Linked DNA regions of Caenorhabditis elegans. The protein of the gene in region 2 interacts with the protein of the main gene of each other region in a pairwise test. Each region holds a gene or a part of one and is shown on either strand. Other genes may lie near its edges.

The links.
Region 1: the proteins of dlat-1 (region 2) and Y57G11C.22 interact in a two-hybrid assay, tested with the Caenorhabditis elegans proteins (one large-scale study listed by BioGRID).
Region 3: the proteins of dlat-1 (region 2) and reps-1 interact in a two-hybrid assay, tested with the Caenorhabditis elegans proteins (one large-scale study listed by BioGRID).
Region 4: the proteins of dlat-1 (region 2) and xpo-2 interact in a two-hybrid assay, tested with the Caenorhabditis elegans proteins (one large-scale study listed by BioGRID).

Annotation. Positions count from the first base shown.
Region 1 is NC_003282.8:14,834,458-14,841,078, forward strand, and holds the start of Y57G11C.22 (PRKCA-binding protein), read left to right. Parts: upstream 1-2,753; coding exon 2,754-2,759; intron 2,760-2,860; exon of another isoform or gene 2,861-2,882; intron 2,883-3,355; exon of another isoform or gene 3,356-3,376; intron 3,377-3,378; coding exon 3,379-3,472; intron 3,473-3,540; exon of another isoform or gene 3,541-3,562; intron 3,563-5,852; coding exon of another isoform or gene 5,853-6,269; intron 6,270-6,383; coding exon of another isoform or gene 6,384-6,621.
Region 2 is NC_003283.11:14,443,596-14,449,599, forward strand, and holds dlat-1 (Dihydrolipoyllysine-residue acetyltransferase component of pyruvate dehydrogenase complex, mitochondrial), read right to left. Parts: upstream 3,696-6,004; 5' UTR 3,693-3,695; coding exon 3,479-3,692; intron 3,420-3,478; coding exon 2,693-3,419; intron 2,626-2,692; coding exon 2,173-2,625; intron 2,124-2,172; coding exon 1,994-2,123; 3' UTR 1,728-1,993; downstream 1-1,727. Other genes in the region: F23B12.4 (ShKT domain-containing protein), read left to right, coding at 1,070-1,145, 1,193-1,229, 1,284-1,434, 1,482-1,606; fntb-1 (Protein farnesyltransferase subunit beta), read left to right, coding at 4,147-4,233, 4,283-4,441, 4,488-4,799, 5,024-5,220, 5,355-5,623, 5,667-5,848. UniProt on the Caenorhabditis elegans protein: The pyruvate dehydrogenase complex catalyzes the overall conversion of pyruvate to acetyl-CoA and CO(2).
Region 3 is NC_003283.11:18,984,252-18,992,766, forward strand, and holds reps-1 (REPS (RalBP1-associated Eps domain-containing protein) homolog), read right to left. Parts: upstream 6,250-8,515; 5' UTR 6,118-6,249; coding exon 6,012-6,117; intron 5,079-6,011; coding exon 4,663-5,078; intron 4,563-4,662; coding exon 4,451-4,562; intron 3,582-4,450; coding exon 3,363-3,581; intron 3,236-3,362; coding exon 3,177-3,235; intron 2,734-3,176; coding exon 2,413-2,733; 3' UTR 1,723-2,412; downstream 1-1,722. Other genes in the region: mrps-35 (Small ribosomal subunit protein mS35 mitochondrial conserved domain-containing protein), read left to right, coding at 1,122-1,364; Y39B6A.37 (Structural protein), read left to right, coding at 6,607-7,154.
Region 4 is NC_003279.8:316,910-325,676, forward strand, and holds xpo-2 (Exportin-2), read right to left. Parts: upstream 6,444-8,767; coding exon 6,234-6,443; intron 6,185-6,233; coding exon 5,876-6,184; intron 5,480-5,875; coding exon 4,166-5,479; intron 3,509-4,165; coding exon 2,829-3,508; intron 2,220-2,828; coding exon 1,916-2,219; 3' UTR 1,640-1,915; downstream 1-1,639. Other genes in the region: nol-14 (Nucleolar protein 14), read left to right, coding at 6,951-7,025, 7,070-7,331, 7,380-7,744, 8,390-8,767.

The DNA.
Region 1 (6,621 bases), on a different chromosome or scaffold from region 2:
AAATGAAACAGTAAAATTTTTTGAACATTGCCGAAAAAAAACTGAGTTGAAAATTGATTTTCACATATTAGGCAGGCGCGAAAGATGCCTACGTACTTGCCTACCTACCAATTTATTTAATTTATTTCTGAACTGCAGTATTTTGCGTTAGATTTACTCATTTGTAGTGTGGAGTTTGAAAAAAAGAACCTAAAAAAATGAAAAATTTAACTGTCATCAGAACGAAAAAATTGAATTTGTTGGAGTTTGTTAAAACTATCAAGCTGAAGAATTTTTTTGCTAATAAATTTTAAAAAACTATTTTTAATTGAAAATGGAAGTATTTTTATTGTAGTCAATATAATGCTGAGAACAATTTGAAATTTTCTGGTGCCAATATAAAAACTCAATGAGCTTGTAAGAGTTCAAAATTTCCTGAAAAATTTACTAGTATGGTTCCGAATGATTGGTTAGATTTTTTCACAATCTTCGTGCTTCCTGGCCGTTTTTTTAAGAAGTGAGGGAAATTTTGATGACTCAGTTTTGTAACTTTTAGAGGAAATTGTTCATTTTTTTGCTTTGATGCTCAAATCTAAAATAATCCGAAAATTATTAAAAACAAAAAATGAGAACTCAGGAGCTATTAAAAGTTATTTGCACATTTTTTTATGAACTTTGTGAATGTGTAAAAGTTTCGATATTTTTTTTTTGGAATTGAAAAATAATCGGAGAATCACAATTTGCAAACTTTAATATATTTTTTAATAATATGTTTTCCACTATAGACTCTGTGAAACATTAGAGAATTTTTAGTGAAAATAATGATCAGTTTCAATAAGTTCTTAATCTCATTGAGATGAATTTTATTGATCTTTTAGAATACTGTGGAAATGTAGCTTATAATAAGTCTAGTTCAATAAGAATGAAGCCTTATTATAAGCTACATTTTCGTGTAGAAATTTTAAAAATGTTTAATATTCATATTTGAATTTGTTAAAATATGTGTTTCAAATTAAATATCCGTAATTTGGAGGGTTTTCAATGACGTTTTTCGACATTTTTGCCGGTTAACTCCAGCCATTTTGTTTTTTGTGCGAAGTAAGGAAAACTTTCATTTCGATTCAATAGAATTAAATTCCGACAATGTTATTTTTTTGTTTCAGTCAATTTGATTCGGTTTTTGTCAAAGTGTTACAATTTGCAGTTTTTATTTTGTTTTTTTTCAATTAGGCATATGCTTTGTCCAGTATAACTCCTGTGAAACATTTGTGAATTTGTAGAAAAAATAATGTCCCGTTTCAATAAGTTTTCAAAGGTATCTCTTCGAGATGAATTTTATTATTCCGCTAGGAATCAGTGGATATGTAGCCCATAATAATTCTGTCAACTTTAATTCCAATTCAGTTATTGTCAAAATATTAATTGCAGACAATTTTGTTATGCTTTCGGTTTAATACTATTTTGGTTCTTAAATCGAACAACTTTGGTTTTCCAACTTCATATAACAATTTAGAGATTTTTTTTTCTGAAAACTAAGAAAAAGTTACACATTTCCTATTTTCAAGTTATTTTTTCAGTTATTTTCACTAACTAGTTAACTGATCACAAAAAACTTTGTGGAAAATATTCAAAACCTTAGTGACAATAATGTTCTGTTTCACGAAGTCCTTAAAAGTATCTTGTAACGGTGAACTTTAGTTCAAAGTTTCTCTGTTTGCGGCAATATATAAATTTCAAGAAATTTTACTATGTTTCTAGCTCAACACATTTTCAGAGTCTATAAAAAATGAAAACATTTTATTAATTTTTTTCCTGTTTCAGTGAGTTTTTAAAAAAAATTACCTTCTGTAGTTTCTAATCGGTTCCATGCTGCAATTTTAACCTCAACTTTGGAAAACTGGTATTAGTGTAGATTTACAAAGTTCTCGTTTTTTTTAAATTTTGGTTTAAAAAACGGGAGTTTTCCTGGAATTTACAAGGAAAATTGCAGAATCTGAATTCATTGAGATTTTTTTTACACTTACGCCGAAAATGTATAAACTCTGTGAAAAGGTTGCGAATTTTTAGTGAAAATATTGTTCTGTTTCAACAAGTTTTTAAAAGCATCTCGCAAAAAATTAATGTAGTTAATGAGCGTTAAATATGTATATCGTATTCCCTTTATCAATTTGTATTCCTGCGACAAATTTCCGTCAAAGAGAAATTTGTCTAGTTGGTAGTTTGTAGGATATAGTTTGTAACTGAAAATTTTAATTGCAGTTCAGTCTTTTGCCAAATATAAATTTAGTTATGTTTCTGGTTTAATACAATCTCAGAATCTCAGTGAAAAATAGTTCATCAATTTGTTTTTTCTCTGTTTCAGCAAGGAGTTTTAAATCCAGGCATTTCTTCTGTAGTTGATAATTTTTTTGAAGATTTACGAAATTTTCGTTTTCATTAGTGGTCGCTTTTTAGACATGCAGACATTTTGAGGATTCATGCACGGCCTACAATATATTTTCTCAAGCTTCCCAAGGCCTCTCTTGTCGTCTTAAATTCTGCCACTAACCCCATTTTGAATCAAATGCACATTGAGCTCATCTTCCATGCATCTCCTCCCTTCTCCTCTCATTCTCCATTTTCAGTGTGCATGATTGTCTGCGTCTCCCGCTTCTCTACACTCTCTCGTAGTCTCTACATCTCTCCGTCTCTGTGCTCTTTTTGCTCGTGAAGCTTTTAGTACTGCTAGAAGGAGTGAAGGAGTGACAATCGATTTTAAAGCAGAAAAATTAATTATGGATGTAAGTATTTTTTTTCAATTGTTTGTGTAGTTTGAAATTGAGCTAAAAAAACTGGAATGTTTCATGTTTTTATTAAAAAAGAACAATAAAAATCATAACTATTATAGTTACCATCAGAGGTGGGCGGATATTTTTTTCTGATATTTTCTAATAATGAATTTATCAATAAGTATTGATGTAGTTATTCTGGAAGAAATGTATCCGAACAAAAGAGTAACTATTAAGAAACATTTTAATATGATAAAACCTAGAAAAATTCTACAAGTTTTCTGTATAAACGATATGCAAGTCCATTATCCGATATCCGTAATATCCGTAATATCCGATATCCGATGTTGCTCGGCTAATAAGTTTTAAGGTCTCGGTAAGGAAAACTTGTAGAATTTTTCTAGGTTTTATCATATTAAAATGTTGCTTAATAGTTACTCTTTGGTTTGGATACATTTCTTCCAGAATAACTACATCAATACTTATTGATAAATTCATTATTAGAAAATATCCGAAAAAATATCCGCCCACCTCTGGTTACCATAATCGTGAAAAAACTTACTGTTTCACTTTCTAACAAATAATTTGTAGGTTTTCAAATTAATTATTGTTTTTTAACCATATTTTACAGTTCCAAATCGAAGAAGACCGGCTCGGAATGAGAATTCAATCGGAGACAATTGAGTTGACTAAAGATGAAAAAGGTGTCGTCGGAATTTCAATTGGTTTGTTCATTTTTTTCTCTGATGCTTGTATATAAATGGAAACCAACTCAAAATAATTTTTTAATAATAACTCGATAATGTTTAAGTGAATAGTTTGGTTTTTGAAACACTTCATTTAAAAACTACTAGAAACAGAAAAAAATGAAAAAAAAATGTTTTTCAAACAATTTGAAATATTACGCTAGTAGTGGTAGAGTGTACAATTTACCATTCCTTGGTTTTTTTTTACCGTCTGACCAAGAATAGTGTGTGAAACGAGAGATTTAGAGAAAGACGAGAGAGTGAGAGATTTGGTTATAGTAAGAAAGAATCGATTTTTAAATAGTGTGCGTTTTTGAGAGATTTAGAGAAAGAGACTGGTAAGACATTTTTGATGTTCTTGGTTCATTCAACCAGGGGACGGGTTCGAACCCAGGACACTATTCGTCTAAAACAGATGCCATACCAATACACTATAGACGTAGTCGCAAACCCAGTAGCATTTGACTCTTTTCTATTTCGAAACATCTGCCGTTTAGGAGACGTCTTTTTCCCAAACGCGATTTGAATGAATGCAAGCGTTACCGAGATTGATGAAGGAAGGAGGCCCCCCTCCCCGCGCCCCTGGGGGTTTCAAGAGTAAAAGTTGATGAACAAGTTTTTTCAATTTACCTGTGCTTTTGAAAAATGATGCATTCAAAGCTATTTGAAGTTTTTCGATAAAGGGTTCTCCACCCGTTATCGAAAACTTTAAAGAGCATTCCCTACAAAAAACATGTTTTACATTTTTTATTATTTATTCAATTACAGATAAGGATAAGTATTAGTGTTACATGCATTACTAACAATTCAAACATTATTATACAATCAATCAAATTTTATAATTTCCAATATTCTTTCGGCATTTCTTACAAACGTCAATTTTCAAAGTTGACCCATCATATTGTGCACCGTCCTGACAATCTGAACAAAACAGGATAGCGGCAAGTGGTTCCATTTTTCGTAAAGCAAACTGGGGTTCCGTTGTCTTGGCAGCCGTGTGTGTCGTTTTAAAAGTTTTCACATTTTTCTTTCCCTTCTTCTCCGACATAGGAATATCAGAAACATTTGATGGCAAAAACTCTGGTTCCTGAGACGAGTTTTGAAGAGTTTCAAAATTCCAAAAGACGTTCGCAGGTGAAGGATCAGGATAAGAAAAGTTTGAGAATGAGGACATTATCAAAAAAAGTCACTACGTACAACAAAAAATTGAGCACAAATGAAGATTGAATTCAGAAAAGTGGGCGGCTCTTGAAATTGGCATGGACAAATCATAAAGTTAATACTCCTGATGCATCAATCCAAGAGTCAAATTCGGCACCATATCCGTCCCAACGAACGAGGTGCTGTTTCTTTCCGCGTACTGTACGAGTGGCTAAAATCTTTTCAATTCGATACTGAGCGTCTGGTTTATATGTGCATTTAGTCAGTTCTCGAGTGTAGAATATTCCGGCAATTTTTTCTCCATTAGTGTCTACTATATTGTAGGTAACTGGTTTCCTTGCAAACACTTTGGAAATTACATAAACTTCTGTAGTCCATCCTTGTTCGTAGCCCTTGTCAAATTGTCCTCGTTTTGCAGCGATTCTGACGTGATCTCCTACTCTGAATTTGATTTTAACGCTGTCTACAGGCATCGGAGTTGAAAAATCTCCCCGCTCAACGTCTACTGGTTTTTTACCAATTCCACGATTAACGCTATTGTTGATACCATTCACAACTTGTTGTAAAACGTCCACATAACGTCGGTTGTACTTTTGAGTCATGTACTTTGCCAATCGAGTTTTCAGAGTCCTGTTTGCCCTCTCCACAATTGCACACTTTATTTCGCTTTTGGGTGAAAATAGATTCACAAAATTCTTGGCCAACAACTCTTTGACATGCGAGTTGTAAAATTCCTTTCCATCATCACTGTAAATTGTCATTGGTGTGACACCAATTTCTTTAAAAATGTCTTGTAGAGCTAGAGCCACTTCTTGTCCTTTTTTAGACTTTAACGTTTTTACAAAAAGCCGTCGAGAGTAAATATCTATACAGACTAGTAGAAAGGTTACTCCGTCGTTTTCCTTCTTGTACCGGGACATATCTGCGAGATCAATTTGAAGAGATGCATAAAGACCAGGTGAGACTGTTTTCCGACGCGGGAATCGCGATTGATTCGGGCGGTGAAGCGTAAAAGATTCCAAATCTTCGAGAACCTTTTCGACTTGTTCATACTTTAACGACTTGTATTTTGGCTTCAAATATTTGTAAACGTTTTTTACAGATGAATAGGCGCAAGGTAGTTTTTCGTCTGTATATGCTTCTTTTATGGCAGACTTCATAATAAAAATTTTAAAAATACAACATTTATATACAGATTTTAAAATTTCCATAATCTACAATAAACTCGTGAACCTGGAGGTGGAGCTGAACCAGATCCGTGAAGAACGCGCCTTTTGGCAGCAGGGATATTTGTACCATTATCTGGGATGGTTGAAGAAATGTTGCGTTTCAAGTTTTGCATCTTATAAATTTTGTTTGGCCTCACTCTACTCATATTCTTTCTTCTTTTCAAATCAAATTTCTGCCTCTTGTTTAAGTTTTTTGTGGAATCCTGTTGAAATGGTCTTTTTTTAATGGAAATCTCAGTGTTTTGTGGCGTCTCATCAACCATCGGCTCTTCATCTTCATCTTCCTCATCCAGCTGCAATTTATAAAGTTTTCGCGGTTTCACGTTATTCATGCTCTTTCCTCTCTTGAGATCAAACTTTTGCCTCTTGTTTGAAGTGGCGTATTGCTGAAACGATCGTTTTTTAATTGAAACTGGTGTAATTTCCACAGTTTTTTCCTCAGGTTTCCTCGGTGGAGCGGCTTGCATATCTTGATCGGGTTCTTCAATCTTCACTTTCACCACACTCTTCTTTTCCTTTTTACCCAAAGGTCTACTGAGAGTTCCGTCTTTCTTTTGTTTCTTGGACTTTTTTATTTTTCCGGGTGCATGTTTTTGGGGTTCCATAAAAAGTTCATTTACATTTTGCTCCATATTTATTTCTGGAATTTTTTCGTATTCCATATGATAATCCTCATCCTCGGGCTCTTCTTTGATGTAAACGTTTTTGCGGGGCTTTAAATGATTTATTCCATCATTG
Region 2 (6,004 bases):
AGATGATTGAAGAAAATCTAGAAAAAATTTCACGCTCAAAAATGCAGTCTCGACAGAGGCCCCACGAAAAGGGGAGCAGAACAAAAAGGGGATCTGCAAAAAGGGGATCTGCGAAAAGGGGAGATACGAAAAGGGGAGATACGAAAAGGGGAGCACCTTGCCGTAAAGATAATGCACCAGCGGGTCTCGAAACTATCAAACCTTCGCAGCTACAGTAACCCAAGAATTTAGTTTTTTTTTGCAAAATTTGGCGAGTTTTAGAAAAGGGGAGCTGGCACTGTGCCAAACGCACAAAACGCAATTTTTCTCACGCAACGCACGTTGATTTTTGAAATTTTCTTCTAGAAGATACGCTTAACAACACGCGACGCGTAACATCGGAGCATCGTTGTATCGTTTTCTTCGAGAAAAATAGCGTTTGGCACAGTGCCAGATCCCCTTTTCGTTGCTCCCCTTTTCGTATCTCCCCTTTTCGTATCTCCCCTTTTCGCAGATCCCCTTTTTGCAGATCCCCTTTTCGTTCTGCTCCCCTTTTCGTGGGGCCTCTCTCGACACGATCGAAACTTCGTAGCCACCGTACCCGCAAGCGTTTTACTATTTTCTCCCTTCTGTATTTAAATTTTCAATTAATTTTATAAATGTTAAAACTATAAATTTCTTGAAAAATCATGAAAAACTCGCCAAATTTTGCAACAAAAAAAAACTAAATTCTTGGGTTACTGTAGCTGCGAAGGTTTGATAGTTTCGAGACCCGCTGGTGCATTATCTTTACGGCAAGGTATAATGTTTCAGTATTTATCTCAGTATTTTTTTTTTCAATTTCTGTTGTATTTGTATTCGTGGTAAGACCCATCGGAACAAATCTGTGTCCCTTTGAGAACGCGTTTCAGAAAATTTCGAAGCTACGATATTATTATTGAGTTGAATGAATGTGTTTTTTGAATTCTTGGAACATATTTTGAAAGCTCAGTTTTTGATTGATTTAGCATGTTGAGTGATGTCTGAGTTTTTCGGTTTCCGTGGTAGCGCGTTCATTTTCCTGTGTTCTAGTCCTAGTTGCCTTGTTCAGATGGCTTCCAACGTGGATCTTCTGGAGATGCTCAAGTGACTGCTGCACCGACAACACAAGCTACATTCACACAACAGTTCGTTTTTCACATATTGTAATGTCGGTAATATTGATTTTTTCCAGACCAACGTTCCAACAAACATTCCGACCAATTCCTGCGGTATTTTATATTTTCTTTTACTCTCTGATCTATATTATAATTGCAATTTTACAGCGTCCACGACAGCGAATTGTTGCTCAACAGCCACAATCTCCATTTAATCGTCAAAATGTGTTCATTTCAAGAAGACGTGGACAGAGTAACAGTTTTGCTGCTCAGCGGCAAAATGTATTCCAGCAGCCACAGCCGGCTTTCGGTGGCGGACGTATGTTTCTAGATCTAGGATATTGTCGAATCTTTTTGAATCTTCAGAATGCGCTGATCGTGATCCTCAAGGAAGATGCAGTCAGTGGCGTCAGTTCTGTGCTTCACCATCCCATCAGCAATACTTAACGGCGTTCTGCGCAAGAACATGCGGACTGTGTCGTCGTCATTGAATTCGTTTCTTGAAGCATATTGTTTCCTAGGGTCTCTCAACATTTTGCTCACTATTACTAAAGATCCGCTAGGCTTTTCCAAACACACTACGAGTTTCTGAAATTTCTGTATGACAGACAAAAATAATAAATCATTTTTTAAAGGAAACTTCTTCTAATAATTCACTTACACATACTACCGGAGAAATTAAACGATTAACTGGGAAACATGCCATGAAAAATGAGAAAAATAAAAGCGAAAATGGCTGTAGTGAAGAAAGAAAGAAATAATAAAATTATGACCTAGTTATACGCTATCACTTCGAGACTTTACGGAGTAAATTCGGGGGTCAAAATGGGTAGAGGAAGATGGTGAGATGAATTGGGAAACAATGAAAAAGCCATCGTTTAGAGAAGCATCGTGTGTGGCTTCTCGAGGAACTCCTTGAAGTGACGAAGCCAGACGGCTCCAACAGCTCCATCAACAGTCCTGTGATCGCATGACAATGTTACCTTCATAGTCTTAATCTTCTTATATCTGAAATACAAAAACTATATAACTCGATAAATTTCCTAAAAACTCTTACCCTTCAGCCTCGTCTGGGACCAGCTTATCAGATGCTCCTCCGATAGCCAAAATGCATGATTGTGGTGGGTTGATGATCGCGGTGAAATCAGATACAGATCCGAACATTCCGAGGTTCGAGACGGTGAAAGTACCTCCTTGGAACTCATGAGGCTGCAATTTTCCTTCGCGTGCTCTTTGCGCCAATTCTACAATTTCTGAGGCAATCGTGGCGAGTCCCTTAGCGTGAGCATTGAAGATAATTGGAGTAATAAGACCGGCTGGGGTGCTGACAGCTACAGAAACATCGACGTGATGATTCTCACGAATGAACGAGTCCATCCAATAGCTGTTGGCTTCTGGAACTCGTTGACATGCAAGAGCAGAAGCTTTGATGATAAAGTCATTGATTGAGATCTTAGTGGCTTGTCCCGATGTTCCCTTTGCAAGAAGACCGTTGAGCTTTTCACGAACCCTGAATAAGGGTAATTTTTGGAAAGGAAGACTCGGGTTTATTGTTTTAATAATTTAAGAAAACTCACTGAAGAAGTGTATCCAATTGAATTTCGCTGGTCAAATAATAATGTGGAATCGTTGATTTGCTTTCGGTGAGTCTCTTAGCAATTGTCTTACGCATGTTCGAAAGTGGAATATCGGTATAATCTTGACCAGATACGGCTTGAGTTGTGGTTGAAGTAGCGCCCTTTGCTGGAGCCTGGGAAAGATCCGAAGCGAGAATACGTCCTCCTGGTCCACTTCCAGAAACTCCGCTCAAGTCAAGGCCATTTTCAGCAGCAAGTTTCTTAGCGAACGGTGAAGCAGAAACTCTTCCCGATGATGAGTGTGGAATTGGTGCGGACTTTGGAACTGATGGTGCTTGATACATTTGTGCTGGGGGAGATGGTTGCGATGAAGCGGCTGGTTTTGCTGGCTCTGGAGCTTTCTCGGCTGCTGGAGCGGATCCACCAGATGAAGCACCATCGTCCTTGAAATCCTTGAAGGCAGCAACGTCAGCCTCGTTGTCGACGATAATACAGAGAAGCTTGCCAATTGGAACATCCTTCGATCCTTCCTGGATGAGAATCTTGGCAAGATATCCTTCTTCCGGAGTTTCGAATCCCATAGTGGCCTTATCGGTTTCAATCTCGCAGAGCAAATCTCCTTCACTAAGTTGATCTCCTTCTTTTTTCTGCCAGCTTACAACAGTTCCGAGTTCCATAGTTGGAGAAAGTGCTGGGAGAGCTACCCGATTGTGCTTTGGCAGATTTCCTGAAAAAAGGAATTAGTGGACAACCAGTTGGAAAATATAAATAGGAAAAAAGTCTCACCACTGCTATAAAGGCGAACTTGTTTAATACTGAAAGCTGCAGCATTTGGATATTGGCGAGCTACTTGTCCAACAAGTCCTGAGCTTTTGGCGGCAGCTCCGGTGCTGAGGGCCCGACTCGATTGTGTGAAACCGATGTTGGCGGCAGAAATAGCTGCTGTTGTCGAGGGACGAAGCCCACCAATCGTTCTCAACGGCACCGGGAACTTCGACATTACCTGAATATTTTTCAGTTTAAACAAAATTATACTTGTAAGAAAACGTAGAAATAAGATATTTAATACACATTTGCAAACAACAATAAAGAATATAAAATTGTAAAGTTATTAAATTTTAAATGGAATGAAAAGCTAATTTACAAGAAAACTTTATCATCTTTCTGCATACTCGCCTGATTTTCGTAGAGTTTTTGTTGCAATAACTGATTAAAAACTTTATCACAGACTGATAAAACGTCAGAATTCCTGATCAGAAAAGAGTGTTCAGAAAAATGAGAAAAGAAAAAATTAGACGGGGACAACGACACTCCGTTTTAAACACGCGCGCCTTGTTTATCACACCGATTTTTTTTTATTTTCGCGACGAAAAAAAATGTTTTTGATAGGTTTTCCCAAGAGAAGTGTGTTTTCTAATGTGTTCTTTTTGTAAAAATTGTATTTTATAACAGAGATGACATCTTCGATCCCATTCCGTTCGTTCAACGAGAAATATGAGTGTAACGACGATGATAATTTCACCTACTCAAGCACTGAACAGGTTTGTAACCCCGCCATGTAATTATCATGTACGATTATGAGTATTTCAGAAACGTATTGAAACAATGCTTTTCGAAAACTACAATTCACTGGTGTTAGAACCATTCAAGACCACAAGCGACGAAGATCTCGCCGAATTGACGATTTTCCGTCAGAAACATGCCTCGTATTTGCTCAGATATCTCAAAAACTGCCCGTCGAGCTACGCAGTAAGTTTGATTTGTGAGAAGTGGTTTTTAACATTACAATTTTTAGACCTTAGACGCTAGTCGTTCATGGATGTGCTACTGGGGAGTTAATGCACTTAAAATTTTGGACGCAGAAATTCCAAACGATGTTATCGAAAACATTATTGTTTTTCTTAAATCTTGTGAACATCCAGAAGGTGGCTATGGTGGAGGACCAGGACAATTGGCTCATTTGGCTCCAACGTATGCCGCTGTCATGTGCCTAGTGTCTCTACAAAAAGAAGAAGCTCTACGATCTATCAACAGAGTCACACTGTTCAATTTTTTGAAGAAGTGCAAGCATGAGAGCGGAGGATTTTATATGCACGAGGGAGGAGAGGTAATAATTTATTAATGAATATCTCTGGCAATGGTTCAAAAGCTCTAAATGTACTGAAACTCCTGCATAGACTTGATGAAGTCCTACTCAGAGTGAAACTTCTACGTACTCTTGCATAGAACTTTAGGATCCTTGCTGCACACTCTACGAATTGCCTCTAGTGTTGTTTTTTTTGCCAGAGATATCATAAAAATTCTGAGCTATCGAAAATTGAACATTTCCAGATCGATATGAGAAGCGCCTACTGTGCACTAGCAACATGCGAGATTGTGGGCCTACCTATGGATGAGATATCAAATGGTGTGGCCGAATGGATTATCAGCTGCCAGAGCTTTGAAGGTGGTTTCGGAGGAGAACCGTATACAGAGGCACACGGAGGATACACTTTCTGCGCGGTCGCCTCGTTGGTTCTGTTAAACAGGTCAGTTATTGTTATCTTTGAAAATGAGAAGAGACAGACCATCACGTGAACACCACATGTTCTTTCTTATAAAATCATATCAATTAAGTTAGTTCAGAATTTGAAATAAGATCATTGATCCTGATGATTTCCAGATTCCGTCTTGCTGATATGGAAGGTCTCCTTCGTTGGGCCACGCGCCGGCAGATGCGATTTGAGGGTGGTTTCCAGGGAAGAACAAATAAACTTGTTGATGGATGCTACAGCTTCTGGCAAGGTGCCATCTTCCCACTTTTGGACGGAGAAATGGAACGAGAAGGCCGATCATTGGAGAAAGGTCTTTTCGAGGCGCGAATGCTTGAAGAGTACATTCTTGTTGGATGCCAATCAGTACATGGAGGATTCAAGGATAAGCCGGACAAGCGTAAGATCCAGTTTTTATAACTAAAAATGACTTCAATTTTCAGCCGTCGACCTGTACCATACATGCTACGTTCTCTCAGGATTATCAGTTGCTCAGAAGTACTCTCTCGCTCGCGATGGGAAAATACTTGGTGGTGATGTTAACATGCTTGCTGAAATTAATCCAGTTTTCAACGTGACCATTGCTTCTGAACAATTTGCCAAGGAGTTCTTCACTTCTCATTGATCGTTCGATATGTATCCTTTCAATATGATTTCATTCGTTAATCTCGCTTCTTAAAGACGTCCCATATACGAGTTTCTTAATTCATATTTGCCTAAATTATGTTTTCCACCCGATTTTTTAAATATTTTTGTATAAAGTTGTAACAAAATTTTGTTT
Region 3 (8,515 bases), 4.5 Mb from region 2:
TCGATTTTCGACATGAAACATGAGTGTAAAAACGCGTTTATATAACGTTTTCCAGGGATTTTAAGAAAACAATTTTTTTAAAAGTTATTTTTTCGAAAATTTGAACGTTTTCTAGAGATCTTTATCAGAAAATACCCGAAGATTGAGCTCTGATAGTTATTTCCCGGTTTTTTTTTTGGTTTTTCCCGAACTTTATCGATTTTTGTGAAATTTATTGATTTTTCTGAAAATTTATCGATTTTTCTGTAAATTTATTGATTTTTATTGAAAATACAGTGATTTTTCTAAAAATTTATCAATTTTTCTGAAAATTTATTGATTTTTCCGGAAATTTATTGATTTTTCCGGAAATTTATCGATTTTTCTAAAAATTTATCGATTTTTCTGGAAATTTATTGATTTTTATTGAAAATTCAGTGATTTTTCTAAAAATTTATCGATTTTTCTGTAAATTTATTGATTTTTATTGAAAATTCAGTGATTTTTCTAAAAATTTATCGATTTTTCTGAAAATTTATCGATTTTTCTAAAAATTTATTGATTTTTCTAGAAATTATCGATTTTTCTAGGAATTTATCGATTTTTCTGGAAATTTATCGATTTTTCTGAAAACGTATCGATTTTTCTAAAAATTTATCGATTTTTCTGGAAATTTATCGATTTTTCTGAAAATTCAGTGCTTTTTGTAAAAATTTATCGATTTTACTGGAAATTTATTGATTTTTATTGAAAATTCAGTGATTTTTGTAAGAATTTATTTATTGATTTTTCTGGAAATTTATTGATTTTTCTAAAAATTTATCGATTTTTCTGGAAATTTATTGATTTTTATTGAAAATTCAGTGCTTTTTGTAAAAATTTATTGATTTTTCTGGAAATTTATTGATTTTTCTAAAAATTTATCGATTTTTCTGGAAATTTATTGATTTTTCTGGAAATTTATTGATTTTTATTGAAAATTCAGTGATTTTTGTAAAAATTTATCGATTTTTCTGGAAATTTATTGATTTTTATTGAAAATTCAGTGCTTTTTGTAAAAATTTATTGATTTTTCTGGAAATTTATTGATTTTTCCGGAAATTTATCGATTTTTCAGCCAAATTTCCAATGTTTTTTTCCAGAACCGCACCGACGCTCTGAAAGTTGAATTCGATGGCTCCAACACCAAAACCAAACTCATCGATTTACTGGAAAAAGCCAAGTTGACGCCTGGATTAAGCCCCAGCGCCGCCGGATGTGGAGATCAAAAATCGATTGACGAATTCGGAGAAATGTGGAAAGCCTATAGAAATAGCGAGGAAACTGTCGAAAAAACGCGGGAATACGGTCGTCAGATGAAGAAATTACTCGGAATTCAACAATAATTTACTGTTTTTTTTTAGTTCTGCTAAGATTATTATACATTCGTCACGAATGTGTAATAATTTTTTTTCTCGAAAATTTTTTGTTTTTTTTTTGTTATTCTAGCAGTTTTTATAATAGATCCCTCAAATTCTGTCAAAATTTGGAATTTTTTCCAAATTTTTAGCCGGATCTGTAATAATTTTTTTGTCCGAATTTTTTAGATAGTTCCCATCTTTCATGTTATTTCATTTTTTTTTGGAAAAATTTATATATATATATTTTCCAATTTTAAAAAATAGTTATTTTTAATGTGTGTAAAAATCAATACATACTTTATGATTTTTTTTTTCAAAAAAAAAAAAGAAGATAGTGTAATAGATTAAATTATCACAGAAAATAGAAAAATTGATGCTTATTTTAAAAAATTACAACATAGGTAAAAATGAAATATATATATGACATATCACAGAAATTATGAAGAAATATGCAGATTTTTTAGTTTTTTGCGGGGAATCTGGGGGAGAAATTGGTGGGAAATTCGAATTTTTGATAGAAAATAATTAAAAACTTTTTTAGAAGTTAAATTTAATTTCGGGAAATACCTTTTTCTCAGAAATTTTTGAAAATTTGCTCTAAAATGGGCAAATTTCATGTTTTTTAATGCGAAAAACCAGAAAAATCAATAAATTTTCCATAGAAATCGATAAATTTTCAGAAAAATCGATAAATTTTCAGAAAAATCAATAAATTTTCAGAAAAATCGATAAATTTTCAGAAAAATCAATAAATTTTCAGAAAAATCAATAAATTTTCAGAAAAAATAATTTTCCATAGAAATTGATACATTTCGAATTTTTTTGTTATTTTCCTAACCAAACGTAATAAATCTTTAAAAATTCTATTTTTCCAGCTAAAAATTGAGTTTTTTCCAAAAAAAAAATTTTTTCCGGAAAATTCGAAATAAAATGTGTTATTTCCTAGTTTTTCAAGCCGAAAAAAATTATTTTTTTCCTATTTTTCCTCAAAAATTCGAATTTCCCATCCATTTTTCCTCCACCGGGGATATCATTAAAGTGTAGAAGAAGAGCACGCAGTTTTGGATCTCTCTTCAAATTCCTGAATTCGTATTTCCAATTGAATCCGTACTTGAGCCAACCGTGCTCTTTCGGCTTCTAATTCCGAATTTTGAGTCCTCAAAGCTGTACAACGTTCCTTCCATCGTTCAATTCCTTGCCCATCAGTTGCCTGAATCTCTTCTCCAATTAAATCGTCGATTTGATGGCCGATTTTCGAGAAAAAGCTCTTCACATCTTCCTCAGAATAGAGTAATTCTGTAGTTTGTGTTGATGAATCTGTTGTGGTAATTCGTTTTTCCTCTTCGATGACTCTCTGCAAAAATATTGTGAATTTTTGGAGATTTTTCAGTGAAAAATTTGAAAAATTTGAAGAAAAATGGTTAAAAATGAGTATTTTTGAATTTTGGCGCTGCTAAAACTACAAACTACAAGTAAATTTTTAGCAGCCCGCCCAAGAAATTAGCAGCGCCCAAGAAATTAGCAGCGCCCAAGAAATTAGCAGCGCCCAAAAAAATAGCAGCGCCCAAAAATTAGCAGCGCCCAAAAAAATAGCAGCGCACAAAAAAATAGCCAAAAATTGTTTAAAAATCATATTTTTGTGATTTTCAACCTGTTCAGAAAATAAAAACTACACTAATTTTCGATTTTATCGCAATTTTGAAAAGTTTTTCTTAAAAATTCGTTAAAACGAATAATTTCAAACTTTGGGCGCTGCTAAGACTACAAACTACAACTAAAAGCTTTCCCTTAACTTACCGGTAGAGGTGACGGTGTGATTCTTTGTGGAATCGGCGGTGGAATACTGTCCGGGGTGGCTGAAAATTTGCGGAAATTGGGAATATTTTGATTTTTTCTCGAAAATTGAAAGCAATATATTTTTTGAAAAATTCCAGTTTTTTTAAAATTTTTTTCGAATTTCTGCCCAATTTTTCAGTCTCATACCAGGAAAAGACGCAAAAGTAGTCGTAGTCGTTGTAGTACTAATCGATTGAGCTGTCGGATCGGAATGTGATGACCAAAGTGATAGGGTAGTTGGTGGTAGCTGGGATTCCGCCGAGGCTTTTGTCTTATTCAATGCAATCAATTTCAAGTCAAGACTTGCACTTCTGTTGTGTCCACGTTGTTGTTGTTGTGGGCGGACAGGTGGAATTGGTGGGGGTCCTGAAAATATGGATTATTGATTTCGGGCGCTGCTCTTAGATTGCAAATACTACTAAATATTGAGTGTTGCGTGTTTTAATGAACTTACTTAATACTTAATACTTATTAATACTTATTTAGGTAATTAAATAACTAAGTTACTAACTACATACTTACGTAGTTAGTAATTTAATTACTAAGTTACTAATTAAGTACTTATTTAGATGATGATTAAATAAGAAAATTAGTAGTTAAAAACTCACTCTGTTACTAATTAAATACCCACTTAGTTAGTAATTAAATACTCACTTAGTAGCAATTTAATACTTCCTTAGTTACAAATTAAATAACTACGTTACTGATTAAATACTCACTTTGTTACTAATTAACACTAACAGGGTTAGTAATTAAATACTTACTTAGTTATTTAATTACTAACTAAGTCACTAATTAAATACTTCCTGAGTTATAAATTAAATAACTATGTTACTAATTAAATACTCACTAAGTTAGTAATTAAATTCGTATTGAGTTAGTAATTTCATAACTAAGTTTCTAATTAACTACTTACCAAGTTATATAATTAGCAACTCAGTAAGTATTTTAATTACTAACTAAGTCACGAATTAAAAACGTACTTAAATAGTTATTAATTAAATAATTAGTTACTTAGTCAGTATATAAATAACTATGTTACTGATTAGAAAACTAGGTTTTCTAAAACATTTGAATCGAAAACTATTGTAGTTTTTGTAGTATGACTGCTATTCAACTAGCAATTTTTCGAATAAATTATTATTAGTCAATAATTTAAACTTTTTATATTGTGTTCACACATTTGAGAAGTATAATAAACACTACAACAATTTCTTCAATGAATCCAAACTTACCCAGTGGACTCTTAAGTGCTAACAATGCAGAATGCTTGATAGCTGTTGGCCTACTGTCCACTAATAATGGCGGTGTATCCGAGAATTGTTTGATGATTGGCTGGTTTGCCCACTGGAATTGGAAAAATTCGAAATTAAAAAAAAAACGTCGTTAATGTTTTGAATGATGATACATATTCAAAAGTCAATTAAATTATTTCAAAAACCCCCACATTTTTCACTGGCCCATCAGCTTCTACATGTCCTGCACCGGCGGGACTAGGCGTCGCCGCAACTGTAGACGGAGCCCGTGGCTCTGTAAGTGGTGGCCGCGCGAAACCGGGTAGCACATCAGGAATCGGAACTTCTCCTTTCACTTTCAACACTACTAAATGCATCGCAATCGAGAATTCGTTTAAATCCAACCATCCGTCTTCATTCACATCGGCCAGCGACCAGATTTTCGATAAAGAGCTCATATCCAGCGAGCTTCTCTTGAAAAACGCTACAATTCGTTGATCGGCTCCGCAAAGGGCTCCGCAGAGGTCTGCGGCGCCTTGAGTGGTTTTTATTAAGTGACGGAAGCATTTTGTGTAGTATTCCTGCTGTTTTTCAGTGATTTTGAAGAGAGAATCCGCGTTGGAATCGGCTGAAAATTGGGGAAATTTGGATTTTTTCGAGTTTTTTAGCTTTAAAACCGAAATAATTTCGATTTTTGCAATTTTCCCTGAGAAAATGTGCTTAAAAATAGAAAAAATCGATTTTGGCGCCGCTAAACGGAAAAGCAGCGTCCAAAATTGTGTAGTTTGTAGCTTTAGCAGCGCCCAAAATTGTGTAGTTTGTAGCTTTAGCAGCGCCCAAAATCTTGTAGTTTGTAGTTTAGCAGCGCCCAAAATTGAATTAGCAGCGCCCAAACTTGTAGTTTGTAGTTTAGCAGCGCCCAAAATTGTGTAGTTTGTAGTTTAGCAGCGCCCAAAATTGTGTAGTTTGTAGTTTAGCAGCGCCCAAAATTGTGTAGTTTGTAGTTTAGCAGCGCCCAAAATTGTGTAGTTTGTAGTTTAGCAGCGACCAATATCTTGTAGTTTGTAGTTTAGCAGCGCCCAAAATTGTGTAGTTTGTAGCTTTAGCAGCGCCCAAAATTGTGTAGTTTGTAGTTTAGCAGCGCCCAAAATCTTGTAGTTTGTAGTTTAGCAGCGCCCAAAATTGTGTAGTTTGTAGTTTAGCAGCGACCAATATCTTGTAGTTTGTAGTTTAGCAGCGCCCAAAATTGAATTAGCAGCGCCTAAAATTGTGTAGTTTGTAGTCTAAGCAGCGCCCAAAAAATTCACTCAAAAACCTTCAAAAGTGGTTTTTTTAAATTAGTTTCATCTGTTTTATAGCGGAAATCTCTTCAAAAATGCGAAAAAATTTGAGAAAAATCGAAAAAGGTTATATTTTCATTAAAACTACTCATTTTTGAGGATAATTTTGCACTTTTTCCTAATTTTTCTGGATTTTTCACCGTTTTTCAGCTTAATTTCCACGTTTTTGCATCAAATTTGCCGATTTCGAGCTGAAATTCTTTATTTTTCAAAATAATCACCTGGACTCGTGTGCTTCAGACGTCTCGGACTACTAATAATATCGGCAGCGACTTTTTCAAAGTCTCCATTCGAAAAATATTGCGATTTTTTGTCGTTTTCTGTCATGGAAATTGATTTTTTCGCGGAAAAGCAAATAAAATAGTTGGTGCACGAGAAATGCGCCAGCGCACTGGAGATGCGCAAAGGGGGTTGACTGGCGCGATTCTCGTGCCGGCAAATTTATTTTTTCGTTTTGAAACGATGTTTCAGCTGAAAAACTCAATTTTCACAGATTTTTTGGGTAAAAATCAGTTTTTTAAAGCAAAAATTAATTAAAAAAGCGTTAAAATCTCCTATTCATACACCTAAAACGCTGAAAAATATCCATTTCCTAGTTGTATAATTTGTTTTTCAGTTTTAAAGTGGTTTTTCATGGATTTCGGGGTTTTTACGGGTGAAAACTATCAAATATCGGCAAGATTCAACCGATTTTCGAGCTAAATCTGAAATTTTTGCGAAAAATAATGAAATTCAGCCGGAAAATCGTATTTTTAAGGTTTTTTTTGCCCCAAAATTCGATTTTAACAGCATAACAATTATTTTTTCCAGGTTCTGATGCCCCAATCGTCCGAAATCCCGCAGATTCCTGAAAAAGCCCGAAATCTCACAAAAAGAGAGCTGAAAACGCTGAAAAATGCGCTCGGGAAGCAAGGATTAACGATGGAACAGCACGAAAATGCTCAAAAATCCACAAAACCCTGCGAAATCCTTCAAATCGACACTTTTTCGATTGATAATTCGAATTTAGAAGACGGCTGGTACGTTGGATATGGCGTCGAGTACAATGGCGTCGGAATTTCGGCCGCCGGGGGGGCTCCAGACAGCTCGGCGAGCAGTGAATCCGGTGATCTACCGCCGGCTGAAAATCGAGAAGCCGGCGGCGGGGAAAGCAGCGGATTCGATTCGGATCCACCGACTGATGATGATGATGATGAAGCACCGCAAGAGCTGCTGGAACGGCGAGAAAGTGATGATATTAGTGATAAAGGACAGCTTTTGTATGGATTGGACAGTGAATTTTATGTTGATAAGGCGCTGAAACCCACAAATGTCGAATTTCACGATAAAAATGACACGAAAAGCTTCAAAACTGGCGAATTTGTGTAAGTTTCGAGGAATTGAGCCCCACGTGGAAACTACAAACTACAAGTTTTGGGCGCTGCTCAAGCGATTTCCGCTGAAAAATCATAAAAATTCCCAAATTTTAACGAATTAAACAGAAAATTCCGTCGAAAAATGCGAAAAAACCGGCAATTTTGGTTAATTTTGAGCGAAAATGTGATTTTGGGCGCTGCTAAACTACAAACTACAAGTTTTGGGCGCTGCTAATTCAATTTTGGGCGCTGCTTAGAATACAAACTACAAGTTTTGGGCGCTGCTTAGACTACAAACTACAAGTTTTGGGCGCTGCTAACACTACAAACTACAAATTTTGGGCGCTGCTTAGACTACAAACTACAAGTTTTGGGCGCTGCTAATTCAATTTTGGGCGCTGCTTAGACTACAAACTACAAGTTTTGGGCGCTGCTAAACTACAAACTACAACTTTTGGGCGCTGCTAATTCAATTTTACGCGCTGCTAAACTACAAACTACAAGTTTTGGGCGCTGCTAACACTACAAACTACAACTTTTGGGCGCTGCTAATTCAATTTTGGGCGCTGCTAAACTACAAACTACAACTTTTGGGCGCTGCTAATTCAATTTTACGCGCTGCTAAACTACAAACTACAAGTTTTGGGCGCTGCTAACACTACAAACTACAACTTTTGGGCGCTGCTAATTCAATTTTGGGCGCTGCTAAACTACAAACTACAACTTTTGGGCGCTGCTAATTCAATTTTGGGCGCTGCTTAGACTACAAACTACAAGTTTTGGGCGCTGCTTAGACTACAAATTACAAGTTTTGGGCGCTGCTAACACTACAAACTACAAATTTTGGGCGCTGCTAAACTACAAACTACAACTTTTGGGCGCTGCTTAGACTACAAACTACAAGTTTTGGGCGCTGCTAATTCAATTTTGGGCGCTGCTTAGACTACAAACTACAAGTTTTGGGCGCTGCTAACACTACAAACTACAACTTTTGGGCGCTGCTAATTCAATTTTGGGCGCTGCTTAGACTACAAACTACAAGTTTTGGGCGCTGCTAATTCAATTTTGGGCGCTGCTTAGACTACAAACTACAAGTTTTGGGCGCTGCTAATTCAATTTTGGGCGCTGCTTAGACTACAAACTACAAGTTTTGGGCGCTGCTAAACTACAAACTACAAGTTTTGGGCGCTGCTAACACTACAAACTACAAGTTTTGGGCGCTGCTAATTCAATTTTGGGCGCTGCTAAACTACAAACTACAACTTTTGGGCGCTGCTCAAGGGAAAAATCAGTTTTTTTTTCTGAAAAGTATCGCCGAAAACTGAAAATCTCCAATTTTCTCCTCAAAAATTGCAATTTTCGCACTGAAA
Region 4 (8,767 bases), on a different chromosome or scaffold from region 2:
TCACAACGGTTTGATACTTTCGCTCCACGAGGGGGCTCCCAATTCAGCGAGGGTCCTCTCACGAAGTTTAATTTTTTAAAATTAAAAAATAAGTAACACCTCAAGAATTCCATCGAAGTTGTGCTCCTTTGCAATAAGACGAAATTTTTTTTTACGGAATTGAACAGGATCATTGAGGTACGGCATGAAAACGGCTTCCTCGTTGAACGATGTTGAAGCTCCTTCACCATTGCACCTGAAAATCAACTTCTAAATTTTCCAATTTAAAGAAAATCCACATACTTATCCTCGGAAACGAATCCAATATTCTGGTTGCTGAGTGGAATTGCTTCAAAGATTTTGATCAGATTTTTTTTTGAAATTTTCGATCACACATCTTGTATCCACCAAATCGCCGAGTGCTTCATGAACTTCAGACTCGTGCTTTCCAACCTCTTCCATGAGCTTCACTTCTTCTGCTTGGAACTTTTGATTGCCTTCGGACCGATCTGACTTGTAGTTTCTTCTTAAATAGTGGCTGATTGAGCAGTCGACCTTGCAGTCCTACCTTCTTTGGCTTCTTCTGCGGCACTTGAGCCCTTGTAAGAGCACTTATTGCTGCTTAACCTTCCTTATTAATACTTCGAACAGCTTCTTCTTGTTCGCATCTATTTCGAATTTTGTCTTGAAATCTTCCAATGCAGCGACAACGTAATATCTGGAAATTATAAAAACATTAAGAGAAAATATTTTGAAAAAAAATCGAAAATTGCACTGAATTCCTAAATTTTTTATTAAAATCGAAAAAAAAAAATGAAATACGTGAGATTGAGTTTCGAGACTTTTTTATTCAGAATCAGCATATATTTCTCCATATTTGAGTAGGTTTTCAGAAATATTGTACCATAATTTTTGGAAAAATGTAATTTTTAATTCGAAATTGCACTGAATTTCTCGAATTTTTCACTAAAATCGAGAAAATAAATATGAAATACGCGAGATTGAGGTTCAAGACTTTTTAATTCGGAATCAGCATATATTTTTCCATATTTGAGTAGATTTTCAGAAATATTGTACCATAATTTTTCGAGATATTTTGAATAATAACTTACTTTTCGACGTTTTTTGCCTTTGTCCGGTTTAATCCATCGAATTTCGAAGCGGTTTGCGTAGATTAGCTGAAAACATTATGCTTATTCCACGTAGTAACAAGAAAAAACAAGAAAAAATAAGAAAAAACGAAGAAAAATAAGCATATAAGTCAAATTAAAAATGTTTATTCGATCAAAATTCTTAACCATAGGAGGCGGTGGCTAGCCGGCGCACTCTCGCGGCCACGTTAGCTTTGCCTCCCCGTGGAAAGGAGCCATGATATTACGGAAACACTATTTGAATTCTGAGAACGCGAAATATCTCGTAGCGAAAACTACAGTAACCCTTTAAATGACTACTGTAGCGCTGGTGTCGATTTACGGGTTCGATTTTTAAAATTATTTTTTTTGTTTTTTGTGTGCGTCATCGATTACTAAATTATAAATTATTTCCGTAAATCGACATACAATCGCTACAGTATTCATTTAAAGAATTACTGTAGTTTTCGCTACGAGATATTTTGCGCGTCACTCCTTCAGGCACCACATCTTACACTCAAAATCGAGGTGAATTTCTGTGTATTTGACAGCAAAAATGTCGTGAAAAACAATTAAATAAGGCAATTTGAAGAGGAAAAAACTGGGGCAGATGTGAGATAAGAAGAAGAAGAAGCGGGGCTTCGACAACCGTAAACTAATCAGAGATGGAAAGTGAGAAATTTGAAATTTAAGACAAAAAAGTTAACAACGGGGGATTTTTTTTAGAGAGAAAGAGCGAGTAATCGGGCAGCAGCAGAGAAAAAAAAAGATAATAAACAATTGAAAAAATATAAATATCGGGGAAATTATTGCTGAATAGACTGCAAATAGGTGACAATCTCGGGCGGTACAGAACGAAGTGTCTCTGGACAATTTCCGGGTCCACGGACAAGAACGGCCTGCGCAAAGTAGGCCTTGTGGTTGGCGATGTTGGCGGCGACGGGCGGTTGCTTGGGAGCGTAACTCAGACGACAGAATGGGTTCACAAATTCTCCCTCGGCGTTGTACATTGAAGCTTGCTCTTCTTCTGGTGATAGGACGGCTCGATCGGAGGCTGAAGCAGCTTCCAGCAGCATTGCCACCTCGTATGACAGAATTCCGTATTGACCACTGCAAAAAAAATTTATATGAGAAATTGAATTTAAAATGATTTTATTTGTAATTTTGTTTTTGTTAATTGTCGTTAATTGTTTTTTTTTTGAGAAAAAACCGAAAAAAAAATTAAAATCTTCATTTTTGATTTAATTTTTTTGTTGAAAAATCGGCAGTTTTCGATTTTGTTTTTTTGAAAAAATAGGGAAAAGTCGGTAATTGTCGATTTTTCAAAAAACTGAAAATTCCAGATTTTGTCAGGAAAAAAAACGAAGAAATCGACAAAATTTCAATTTTATTTTTTTAAATTTGTGTTTTTCAAATTTTTTTTTGATATGTGATTTTTAACTTTTCTCTGGAAAAAAACCGAAAATTTGCAATTTTTCAATTTTTTCCAAAAAAATCTTTAAAAAATAGAAAATTTTCGTTTTTTTTTCTGAAATATTTAAAAATTGTAACTTTCTATTTTTTTTAAACCCGTATTAAAGTTTAAAAAAAAAATCGGAGAAAAAAAAACTGAATCGAAAATATGTGATTTTCAATTTCCTTTGAAAAAAATATAAAAAATCGAAAATTTTCGTTTTTCGATATTTTTTCTGGAAAAAAGCCTAAATTTTCATTACTAACACAAGCTGCTGCGTGACATCGGCTAGCAAATTGCCCATTCCAATGGCAATAATCCGTTTCTCAGGCCCCGTTGTCGTTTGTTTCAGACCTGGCAAATCAATGCATACGACCTTCTCGATGAGCATTCCGAACATGCCAGTCTGAATATTCTCACACGATTGAACAAGATCCTGTGCACTCCGGGCGATCGTAAATCGACACAAGAACACGATGAATAGCTTCATAAACTTGGGTGTCTTCGACGATTGAACTCTTCGAAACATTGTATTGAGCACAAATGTCATCGCGGAACCCTCGAAGTGCTCAATCGACGGAAGAATCGTCGCCGCCAACTGGAAACCGTATTGATCCAAGGTTTTCGAGCCCAAAAGCCGCGCCAAATGGCTCAAGATCAACCCAGAATTCTCCGAGACGACTCGCTGAGCATTCACGGAAAGGATCACTTCGAGAACCGAAAGTGCCGCTGGAACATTCGCTGATCTCGCCCAAAGACGTTCGGATAGCAGAAACGGAAGGAACGGTGAGAATTGATCGATCGATGAGTTTCTAGCGATACATGAGGAGACGAGAACTCCCGTGATTTGGAGAGCATATGGGATGAGATCTTCCAAATCCTCGCGGAAGATCACTTCGATCAGTGGAAGGAGTTGAGCATCCAGTGAGGCGCCGATTGTTCGGGTCTGGAACAGGAAATTCGTTAAAAAATATAAAATGTTCTTAAAATTGCTATCACTTTTTTTTTGAATAAGAAAAAAAATCACAAAAAGGAAAACACGAAAAAGCAGACAAATGTTTCGATTTTGCAATTTTTAATTTTTTTTTTTCAGAAAAAAATTATCGATTTCTTCTTTAAAAAAAGAAGATTCTTTTCGATTTTTTCGGAAAAAAACATCGAAAAATTGAAAAACAAAAAGTTTTGATTTTTTTTTCAGTGAAAATCGTTCAATTTTTCGGGGTTTGTTTCGACAAAAATAATTAAAAACTAAAATTTTTCAGTTTTTAGGTTTCTTATCAGAAAAATTGAATTTTTTCGATTTTCCGAAAAATTAAAAAAAGGTATATTTTTTGAAAACACGAAAACGGAAAAGTGTTGGTTTTTTGTAAATTTTTGCGTTTTCCAGCAAAATTGCCAATTTTTCCGAAAATTTTCAGATCGAAAGTTAAATTATCGATGTCTATTCCAATTTCCGAGTTTCAGCGAATTTTTTTTTGCAGAAAAATTTCAGAAAATTTGACAAGTTATGTTCCAATTTATGAAAAAAAATTTGAGACCAAAGTGCGGCACGGAAAAATGGGCGGAGTTTAGAGTGGTATTTTTCTCTCAAACTACTCCTTACCTTGGTGATCAACACACAAATCGTCTCAAACAAAAAGTGCGTGTGCACCGAATCCGCCGGATTTTTCGTCGCCGACTCGACCAACTGTGCGAGCTTGACCGCAATCGCGTCCGCATGCCGAATCGTGTCGTCATCGAGAATCACAATGATCCTCAAAATCGCCTTGATCAGATACGGCGAGTTTTGCGCTTTGGCATCCTTGTCGAACGCGGTGACAAGGTTCTGAAGGATCGAGGAGACTGGAAGATTTTGAGCCGAGAAGATTTTGTTGGAATCAGCGAGAAGGATCTTTTCAATAGCGTAAGCTGCGTACTTGTGCAGAATCGGAGTATTCGAGCTGAGAAGAGCGTCCGCCGACTTGATCGCAGTCATAAGGTGCTCTGGAGCCAGCTGTTTCCTGAAAGTGACCGCAAACTTCAGTGCATCAGCTTTAAGGATCGGAGTTTGATTGACATCGGCGTTGAGATGTGTGGCCACTTGTGTGATGAAGAAGTCGTTGATGTCCACCAGCGGGTTCGTCGCCGTTACTCCACTCTTAGCAGTCTCCGTCTTCACCGCGATCGCCGTGATCAGCGAGTAGACAATGTCGATCTTGATCCAATCACCACTTCCCAGCAGGTTCTGCACGATCTCCCCCAGACATGGAAGCATTTGCGCCTCGAATCTTCGGCAGAGACCTCGCGCAAGATCGATGGCTCCACGGCGTCGAGTTCCTACATCGGTACCCTCGATGTCTCGCTTCATATAATCCAGTGGCTCATCCTCGAACAGTTCCATATCCTGTTGACGAAGCAGAAGGTTCTGAACGCACACGTTCTCGGCGAGAGTCTTCAGAACGCCTTCACCAGTGAAGTGTCCCTCGTAGTACTGTCGCTGGCTGACCATCGACAGAAATTCCAGCGCGGCGCACACCATCGTATCGTATCGAGTGTCGGGGCCGGTAGACTTGAGCAGATTCCAGACGGCAAGGATGATGTCGGGCACGAACTCGGAGATCTCCTCCTCGTAGCGTTGCGAGTAGAGCGTGAAGATCTCACAGATCTCGTGCTTAAGCTCGTCCAGAGTTGTAGGTTCTCCCGAGTTGGAGGTCTGCGTCGGCGCGTCGATTTGCACGAGATGCAAGAAGTGTGGCATCCAGTCCTTGAGATGATCCTCGAAGTATTCCGGAATCTCCTGTGAGCACAGAGAATGGTAGACTTTTGCAATGAGAAGTAAGACTCGGAGCCATTGGGCGATCTCGTCGGCTCCGAGTTGATCCTTCCGCTGTCCCACCTCCATCATGTTCCGTAGCAACAGAGTTAGAGGCTCTTGGGTCTGAAAAATCGGTTCTTTTTATTTGTAACTGAAAAATCTGGGGAGAAAACAGTTTTTCGGTCCAAATTCGAGACTGACATTCAGATTTCTTCAATTTTTTGGCTCAAAAATTTTGAAAATTTGTCCATTTTTATAGGAAAATTATCAATTTTCGCCAAAAATTCCTCATTTTTGCTTTAGTTAAAATTTTTGACTAAAAAATCATAAAATGTTGAATTTTTCACGATTTTTCGGAAAACAAGGCCAGCTTTAGCTAGCTTAAATGTCTAATTTTGGTCATTTTTTAGGGTCAAAGCGGACAAAAATTCAACTTCCGACGGCTGCGACGTAAAAAAGTGGCCAAAATTGGGGATTTTAGCTGAAATTAGCCAAATTTTGAGCCAAAACGCAACTCACGCTCAGTAGACACTTCTTCAGCTCTTTCCAAAGCTCTGCTGACTTGGATTCGAATCGGAATTTGCGGAAAATCTGCTCCATCGACGCCAGCGAGGCCACCAGGTGATTGAGATCCGCTCCGTTCAGGAATTTCGACAAATATGGAACCAAATCTGGCCATTTTTCGGGAAAATCTCTCTGAGCGATGAGATACAGAGCATTGGACAGGATTTCCTGAACATTTGATTTTGTATTGAACATCGCTTCGAGAAGCATGCTTCTGAACTGCTCCTCGTCTTCCTGGCCCATTTCTACCTCTGGTGCCGGGCCCTGAAACAATTTAAATATAAAATTCACGCATTTATTCAAATTTTCCAACCCAATTTCTCTTCACAAAATTTTTCAAAGCGACAGCCGCGGCGATTCGGATCTGCGGAGCAATTTGTTGCTGTTCGTTGACCACCAGTTGAAGAATTTGAATGATATAGCCTGGATTTGATTGCAGCGAGCGGAGCGCTTCTTCTCCACGCTTGCGAATCGCAGCATCCGGCTCCAGAGTCTGCTGGAGAGCTGCTCCGATTTGCTCCATCTGAAAATAGGGAAAAATAGCTGTTTTGGGGGTGAAATAGGGAAGAATTAGGTGAAAGGACAAAGATAGTTTAGCTTAAAACTTGAAATCTAAAATTTCCGGTCAAAATATTAAAGTTTTACGCAATTTTTCGCAGGCCCGCGGGGAATAAACTCGCAAAAATTCGCAAAAATAAAAAAAAAATTTCAAAAGTGTGAAGTGTTTGCGTACAGCGCACCCGACCCGACGCGCAAATTTTTTTCATTATGTTCTCTGTTTTCACTGATTTTTACTGATTTTTCCTAGTTTTCCCTTGATTTTCTTCAAATTTTCCACTTTTTCAGCAAAACGTGCATAAAAAAATAAATTAAAACATTTCAATTTTCAAAACTTTGCAAAATAAAGGCGTCGTTGCGTACAATGCGCACGACTTGACGCGCAAACTTCCCAATTTTTATTCTTAAATTTTCCTGGATACCCCTGGTTTTTTCTCTGTTTCCCCCCTAATTTTTCGCATTTTCAGCAAACATGGGTGTTGATAAAAAGCAAAAGCAACGAAAAACCAATCCATTCGAGCTAAAATTCAACAAATCCAAGCATGACGTGAGTTTTTCAGAGTTTTGAAGAAAAAATCGATTTTCTCGCAGATTCTCGGCCGGAAAAAGGGCGCACAAGTTGGAGCACCGACTGCGTCACGAAAACGAGCTCACGAGCAACGTGAACAGACGCTAGGCGTAGAATATGACCGGAAAAATAAGATTAGCAAAATTGTCGACAAACGGCTCGGCGAAAAGGACGGAAAAAGCGAGGAGGAGAAGGGCGCGATGAGATTCACAGAGGAAAGAGTCAAAAATTATAAAAGAGCATCGAAATTCAACTTGACAGATGATGGAGATGAGGAGGAAGAAGGTTTATTCCGAAATAAATTGAGAAAAATTTTAATAAAGTAAATTTCAGTACTTACTCACAAGGGAAAAGCGCTCTCGGACATTGAAAAATACGACAAATCGATGATTTCCGACTCGGATGACGATGAAGAGCCGGGAAATTTGGGCTCAAATATGGTAAAAGTGGCTCATTTCGGTGGTGGAGAGAAGACCGCCGAGGAGCACGTCCGCGAAAAAATCAGCCGAGAGGATATGATTTCGAATTTGATTGCGAAAACGAAGCTGGCGCGTCACGAGAAGCAACAGCAGAAGGATGAGCTCGAGCTGATGACAGAGTCGTTGGATTCCAAGTATCAGGCTTTGATGGGCAAAATGAAGGCTTCATTTAGGCCGACCGGGCGCCAGCCGCTGGAAAAAGATGATTACGACAAATTGGTACGGGAAACATCCCGGTTTTCTCCAAATTTTTAAGATAAAAGATAATTATAAATTTAGAGTGAAAATCGATTTTTTTCACAATTTTTTAGTGGAAAACCTAAAACCCAAAAAACTTGATCTGAAAATGCTAATTTTTAACCATTTTTGCTATGGAAATTGGAAATTTTCATTAATTTTGCTGTAAAAGTTGAAGAAATCCAAGTTTTAGCTTTGTAATCAGAGAAAACACTGTAAAATTATTTCGGAATTTGTGCAATTTGAAGTGAAAAATAAAACATTTAACTTCTTATCGCGAAAGAAATTGAGCTGAACTGAGAATTTTTTTGACGAAAAATCATTAAAAAGTCAATTTTTTTGACAAAAATTCGAGAAAAGTCGGTTTTTCTTTTGACAAAAATGACGAAAAAGGCAATTTTTAATTTAAAAAAATAAATTTTTCGCCGAAAAATAACTTTAAAAAAGTCGTTTTTTTACAAAATAAAACAATTTAAAATAACTATTTTTCGACAAAAAAATTAAGAAAAAGCCAATTTTTTTGTTTAAAAAATGATAGAAAAAGGCTTTTTTTTTGTTTCTTCGCCTAAAAAATCAAGAAAAATAGGTTTTATTCCATTTTTTATCCAAAAATTATTATTTTTCCAGACAATCACCTTGAAAACCGAAGCCGACGCTCGTGCCACCCCAGCAGATCGTAAGCTATCCGAAGAAGAAGAAGCTCTGAAAGAAAAAGAACGTCTGGAAACTCTCGAGGCCGCCCGTATCTCGAAAAATAATGCATTTTTCAACGCAAAATCTCATTTATCAGCCGATGCCGACGTTGATATCGATGCTGGATCGAAGGCCGACGCCAGAAAAGTTCAGGCGAAAAATTCGAGATTTGAGGTCAAATTTGACGATGAAGGTGGCCTGATCGATGAGGATACGGTGGAAAAATCCAGGATTTTAAAGAAAAATCTGGATGGTTCTGATGAATCTGACGATGACGAGGATCTAGAAGATGAGGAAGAGGATCTGGATGAT